Saccharomyces cerevisiae S288C: one gene and its partner. Each later gene encodes a partner of the first gene's protein in a complex. Each region holds a gene or a part of one and is shown on either strand. Other genes may lie near its edges. A codon is read from its position in the direction of its gene.

Region 1 (2,897 bases):
TCATGATAATATAACGTACTTTCTAACTGTATTGTTGTTCCGGGGTTCTTGAATATTGAATGAAAAATGTTATAAAATAATGGGTTGAATCTTGAAATATGCAGTATTGAAATATTCTGAAATTGTATGTATCCAGAGATTATGGCAAAGCCTAAAGGGAAAATGGTAGACTTCCTACATTGAGAATATCGCTGGTTTTCCCGAGCGCGGCTAGCGACCATTTTTCTTTGTCCTTACAGAACTAAAAAAAAAAAACCAAAAAAAAGTCGAAAACAAGAATACATGCGCTGTATGGGTCTAAGAGTATGTACGGATGTAAAAGAAAACAGTACTAGACAGAGCGCATAAAAAAAGCCTAATCCCTTTTCCGTCTGTATACTTGTGCTCCCTTATAAAAAAAATTAAAAATTAAAAAATAAAAATAAGAATAGTGTATAAAATTATTTTTGCTTTGATTTTAGTTTATTTATTTACTTTCTAAATACAGTAGGTTAAATAAGGATCGGTTTCTTGAAGAAATTGTAACAAGACTCAGAATAAATATGAATATAGGGAATATGACGGATAAACAGACTACTTTAATTTGTCAAATAATCTAGGTGCCGTGGCAGTGTCCAAATAGTGCTGTAGATGGAAAAACTCCTCCACACAGTCCTCCTTGTGTTCAAGATCCGCGTAGCCGGGTTGTTGTTGCTGTATCTTGACTCTCTCAGCACACTCCTCGTAGTGGTGCACAAGGGCCTTACCCTCCTCCGTGTTCTTGAAATGTTCTCTCAAATCTTCCAACTGATCAGTGACTTCTTCCTCTTCTTCCTCATCTTCGTCGTCATCATCATCATCATCTTCGTCTTCGTCTTCATCCTCATCTTCATCCCCATTTTCTTCTTCTTTTTCTTCTCCTTCTGCTGCCTTTTCTTCATGCTGCTCGTTATCGTCATCTTCGGCCGCGGCCACAACAGGCACAACGGTTATCTTTAGTTGTTCCCAGTACTCACCAACTAGTTCCAACATGCCCATTTTCTATTTCTTTTTCTTTATCCGTGTGTGTAGGTGTAAGTGTATATGTGTGCTTCTGTTAATGTGAGTGCGTGTATACAATATGTGCAAATAAGCGCCAACCAATACTGCCCTTAAGACTGAGTAGGTCCTAATCTCGAAAACCCGGTGTGGGCCACTTTCCAGCAAAGCGCCTCTTATAACAAGCACCGCGCAGGGGAGGCGCGCCCCAGTCCGATATGCCCGGAACGTGCTTCCCATTGGTGCACGGTCACGTGCTCACGTTCTGCTGTAGGTGACGGATGTACCGGCAGGCCGCCTCCACGGTGGTCGCTTTGGACGGCGCGGCCGACACATTTTGCTGTTTCCACTCCGCGGGGATTAAAGACGCCAGTTCGTGCAGCGCGACCGCTAATCGATTACGCCGTGCTTGCTCTGCATGCTTGTGTGATTCGCGCTTGTCATCGTCCACGAGCGCGCCCGATGACCGTCGCTTACTCAGCGACCGCGAATGGCTCGATCCGTGCGGCGCGATTACAGGAGACTCACTTGCTACGACCACGCCTTCTGCGCTGCTGCTGGTCTTGGCCGTGACCGGTGATACGCGTCTTGTGCTGTTCGACGGCAGAATAACTTTCGGATATTGCTTTGGTTTCGGTTTCGGTTTCGGAGTTGGGATAACGCTGTCGGGCAATTCGAACAGCGAAGTGGCCGAATCCGGCCCGGGTTTACCTCTGCGCTTGTTCAAATACGGACTACTATTACTCTTGTTTTTAGTGACTTTGTTAGCGGATGTGGTGGAAGTAGCAGTAGCGACCAAGTTCGGCGAAATGGTTACGGGAACCGCACTTTGCGTGTGTATTAGCGGCGAATATAATAGCCGCGGCTTGATTGTAGCAGTTGTAGCTGGGGAGTGGTGCGCATGCGAGGGCATCATCCAGTCCATATCCATACCTTCCACCAGCTCAAAGGCGCGGTCTAGGTCGTCCAACGCGAGACTGTCTTGTTCATTTTCATTCTCGTTCCCATTCTCACTGCTGTTGTGGTTCTCTTGACTGTTCAGCTCGTCGTTTTGCTCGTTGAAGTCCTCGCGCCCATCATGCCGTTTCGTGTTTACGGTGATAAAGTCTCCGACTTTATCAAGAATGCTGCTCTTGGGCTCTAGATCGTCCACAAAACCGTGTATTCCCTCAGAAGTTGTACGGCCCATGACTTTCTGCTACTCTTGTTCTGTCTCCTTTGCTCATCTCTTCTCTTCTGGTCCTTCCGAAGCATGACTTCTTCCCTGGTTATATACATTTTTCTATGGTCAAGACTCATTTGCCAAATATTTCCGTGCGAGCGGCCGGGTCAGCCTTTCGCCTACCACATATTAGGCGAGGCAAAAAAAAAAAAAAATAGAAAACGAGAAAATCGCACTTGCAGCATAGGAAATACTTGCACACAGACATACACATACACACCGTACGCAAAGAAGGCAAGGCAGCAAGAAAAACTGTGGGAACGTAGAAATGAACGTACCTACGGCGCCAACTCCCAACAAACATTTGAACATACCTGATTTGAGGTTCGAGAAAGTGTTCAAGAAAGCTTTACACAGGGAATTGGCACCCTCATCGTCTCTCTCACGGAAGGCGGGTGTGATTACGAAAGTTGTGGTTCGCGATGTCCTGCTCATGCCCTTATTGCAGAGCTTTGTTTTGTCACTCGCGCTCATGGGTGTGAAGGAATGGTTGTCTTACATACGCTTGAAAGGACGAACCCTAGGTGACCGCATTAGACAGAGACTTTTTCCGATCTAAATAATGCATATAACCGTATCTTTTTTATATGAACCTAGTTTTGCTGTATAAGAGCCGAGAAAAAAATATAGGAAAATATAGGAAAATATGCAAAATAGA
Region 2 (3,255 bases), on another chromosome or scaffold:
GAAAGAGAAGGTGGATGGCCAAAGCCTTGGAACAGTGGTAGATTTACACTAAGTTTACTTTCTTAATAGATAATAGGAATATATATGTACATATATAAATAAAAAATAAATAAAATAAATATTATAGAAGAACACCAAGACGCCGGTGTTGGGCATCCAAACAAAATATTGTAAAGTTTCTTTCTTGCAATCTTCTACCTTTATTTTTATTTTTTATTGCTGTTAGGTTGTTAACATTTAAACATCTTTTTTTTTTTTTTTTTTTTTTTTTATATTATTATTCGTGATATTTCGCTTGCAGCAGTATCTCAGTACATGAAGGAGACACTATTGAAGTGAGACGTTGTTTACAAGCAGTGAAAAAATAAATAGGGTGGCCGAAAAAAAAGAAACGAAACCAGAGAAATAAAAAGGAAAAGTAGGTAAATTTTTGTTACCTTTCACTCTCTTTCTGAAAACAATTCAGTATGCTCTACTAATATTCTTTTTTTTCATTTCTTTTATTATGTTTTTTGTTTATTGGTTTTTTTTTTTCCGTAATTTAAATAATAGTGGTTTTCATTTTTTTGTCAACTACTTTCTTGGTTTTGGTGGATTGAAAACGAATTTTCTGGTTTTGATACCGGCCCATTTGAACTTCTTCACCCAGATAGATAGCAAATACAAAGATGATAAGATTATCACCGTTTTCAAACCCAATCTCTTTCTTTCGTCATGTTCAGGTTCGGCACACCAGTTTAAAAAGGTGGTAACGTCCTTTGCCATTTGAGATGTCGTTGCGGGGGTACCATCTTCGTACTCAACCATGTCATCAAACAAGACTCTTGCCATTGCAATGGAACCACCTGGGAAGTAAGGGTTATAATTAGAACCTGGTGGTAAAGCCACACCAGCAGGAGGTTCATCAGGATAACCGGTCAACAAAGAGAAAATGTAGTCACAACCACCGTGTCTAGCTTTCACGATCAAAGATAGATCAGGTGGCAAGGCACCTTGATTGGCAGCTCTTGCAGCCTGTTCGTTTGGGTATGGGCCAGGGATGTAATCGGACAACTTACCTGGTCTCTTTTTAGGGTTACCTTGTTCATCAGGTTCGTCATCGTATTCAAATTCTTCGGCCATATTACGAACCTCTTCGTTGGTATGAGAAACACCAACCAAAGTTCTCCAAGCAACTCTGTCAAGAGAATGGCAGGCGGCACAAACTTCACGGTAAACCTGGTAACCTCTTCTAATGGATGCATGATCAAATGTTTCAAAAGGCCCATTGTGGGACCAAGCATATGCTGGGGCGTGCAATCCGTGTTCAGCTGCGGTCATAGCTTCGGCAGTTAAGGAGTCTGCATAGAGTAAAGTCGATGCGGTGATACCGGCGGCAGCAACACCCGCTGTAACGAGCTTTTGAGTAAGCTTGCCAGATTTACTAGCAGCACCTGTTGCGGTAGAGTAGAAACTTTTCGAGAGGGTCCTTTGAGCCCAACGTTTAGATAGATTTGAAAACATTGTCAAATTAGTTATAACTTCCGCTTCTGAGAAAAAATAGTAGATGATATAGTGTAATGAAAATGCAAATTGTAAAATATTATTTTTCAGAACTAGTTCAAACTAATCAATTGAAGATATCACAAATGTGGGGAAATTCAATGAATGCTTTTTATCAAACTGGGGGAGTACTGGAAAAAATATTTAAGAAAAATAGTGTTACACTAATATAGAATATGGATTCTTTTTCTTTTTCTTTCTTGTCCTTAATATTTGAAGATAAAGTACAAAAATGTATAAAATGTTGCTTAACAAAGAAAGATTGTGAAACCGATGATTAATAAGAAAACGAATGGCCTCTACTAAAAGCTTAGATAGTCTATGGATCCAGTTGGACGTCTAACCTCGTTATTATTCAAATTGTTTATATACTAGAAAGAGCCCCCTTAGTATCTACGCAGGGTAAAGGCGCTCGACCCTCTCCACCAACCAAATCCTCGCATTTTTTGGCCGCCGGAAATACCGGCCGCCCATTACCAAGAAATCCGAGAAAAAAAAAATCTTCAGTCACGTGGCGCTCCGTCTTATTTCCGTCCTTATACAAACATTTGGGATTGGCTCACAGAACATCACAACAGCATCTGTGAAAGTCTTAATAGAACTGAAATGTATGATGCGCTAGCACATCCGCTTTACAAGGAAGTTTTTTTCGTCTACAGCAATGGAACATCTCGCCAACGAAAACTCGGATTCGGATATCAGGTACAGTTTCCTTAGCACTTTGGATCATTTACCATGTGAACTAATAAGATCTCTTCGACTGATGCAAACAATCGACTTATTCAAGAATGAAGAGGATGAGCCTGGTATGGAAAGGGCCTGTAGGGATCTGTTGCTGGTAGCGACTTATATTAATGATCTGGTCGATGATCAGATTCATTTCTTAAAGCAGCATAAGAAGGAACTAGAGATACAGAAGTCAGTGACAAAAAATTTCAACTCTTCGCTAGAGAATATCAAGTCGAAGTTGACGTTAGAAGAACCAGGAGCATATAAGGAGCCAAAACTGCTTTTAAAGATTAACTTGAAAAAGGCTAAATCGAGGGAAAGAAAAGAGAGCATAACTAGCCCCACAATTGGGATTAACCAGGGTGATGTAACAGAGGGTAATAATAATCAAGAGGAGGTTTATTGTTTCTGTAGGAATGTATCTTATGGGCCAATGGTGGCTTGTGATAATCCGGCTTGTCCCTTCGAGTGGTTCCATTATGGTTGCGTAGGCCTGAAACAAGCTCCCAAGGGCAAATGGTATTGTAGCAAAGATTGTAAGGAAATAGCAAACCAGAGGTCCAAGTCAAAACGGCAAAAAAGAAGAAAGTAAGCAATATAATGGACGGGTTTACATGTTTAAATATATGTACATGTATGTAGTCTTATACTTTCAAAACATAATCGCATGCGGGTCATCAAAATAAACCTCCATTTTGGACTTGGGAAAAAGAAAATTTGATTTAAACTGTTGTATGTAGCTAACAATACATAAAACTATTTAAATAAAATAGGAATAAGAATGCTCAATTAAAAAATGATTTATTTTCTAACAAAACTTCTTACAAGTCCTTCTTCAAAGTACCCATGAAAGCATGCTTTTCAGCTGGGGTTTGGAATCTACCCTTACCGAACTTAGAAGCAGTGTCAATCCACTTCAAGCTGACTTCTTCCAAAGCCTTTCTAGAAGTGTTGGTGTACAAAGACTTTCTCAAAGTAACAATT

What was found. Proteins that work in one complex are often made in the same cells at the same time.
Region 2: the proteins of QCR6 (region 1) and CYT1 are in contact, whole or in part, in a cryo-EM structure (PDB 6HU9), measured with the Saccharomyces cerevisiae proteins. Residues at the interface, in NP_116691.3 of Saccharomyces cerevisiae: Val74 (codon at 798), Thr75 (codon at 795), Asp76 (codon at 792), Gln77 (codon at 789), Leu78 (codon at 786), Glu79 (codon at 783), Arg82 (codon at 774), Tyr98 (codon at 726), Ala102 (codon at 714), Val105 (codon at 705), Gln109 (codon at 693), Glu121 (codon at 657), Asp122 (codon at 654), Cys123 (codon at 651), Val124 (codon at 648), Phe127 (codon at 639), Phe128 (codon at 636), Gln131 (codon at 627), His132 (codon at 624), Asp135 (codon at 615), Thr138 (codon at 606), Ala139 (codon at 603), Leu142 (codon at 594), Phe143 (codon at 591), Leu146 (codon at 582), Lys147 (codon at 579); in NP_014708.1 of Saccharomyces cerevisiae: Ala64 (codon at 1,314), Ala65 (codon at 1,311), Gly68 (codon at 1,302), Leu69 (codon at 1,299), Pro72 (codon at 1,290), Ala73 (codon at 1,287), Tyr74 (codon at 1,284), Ala75 (codon at 1,281), Trp76 (codon at 1,278), Arg92 (codon at 1,230), Phe192 (codon at 930), Thr196 (codon at 918), Gly197 (codon at 915), Pro199 (codon at 909), Pro202 (codon at 900), Pro203 (codon at 897), Ala204 (codon at 894), Gly205 (codon at 891), Val206 (codon at 888), Tyr214 (codon at 864), Pro216 (codon at 858), Tyr217 (codon at 855), Arg227 (codon at 825), Asp231 (codon at 813), Thr240 (codon at 786), Pro241 (codon at 783), Thr243 (codon at 777), Thr244 (codon at 774), Ser245 (codon at 771), Gln246 (codon at 768).

What each region holds. Positions count from the first base shown.
Region 1 is NC_001138.5:223,753-226,649, forward strand, and holds QCR6 (ubiquinol--cytochrome-c reductase subunit 6), read right to left. Parts: upstream 1,018-2,897; coding exon 574-1,017; downstream 1-573. Other genes in the region: MIN10 (Min10p), read right to left, coding at 1-221; phosphate-sensing transcription factor PHO4, read right to left, coding at 1,268-2,206; YFR035C (uncharacterized protein), read right to left, coding at 2,369-2,713; YFR035W-A (uncharacterized protein), read left to right, coding at 2,508-2,798. UniProt on the Saccharomyces cerevisiae protein: Component of the ubiquinol-cytochrome c oxidoreductase, a multisubunit transmembrane complex that is part of the mitochondrial electron transport chain which drives oxidative phosphorylation.
Region 2 is NC_001147.6:445,687-448,941, reverse strand, and holds CYT1 (ubiquinol--cytochrome-c reductase catalytic subunit CYT1), read right to left. Parts: upstream 1,504-3,255; coding exon 574-1,503; downstream 1-573. Other genes in the region: YNG1 (Yng1p), read left to right, coding at 2,204-2,863; 60S ribosomal protein uL3 RPL3, read right to left, coding at 3,093-3,255. UniProt on the Saccharomyces cerevisiae protein: Component of the ubiquinol-cytochrome c oxidoreductase, a multisubunit transmembrane complex that is part of the mitochondrial electron transport chain which drives oxidative phosphorylation.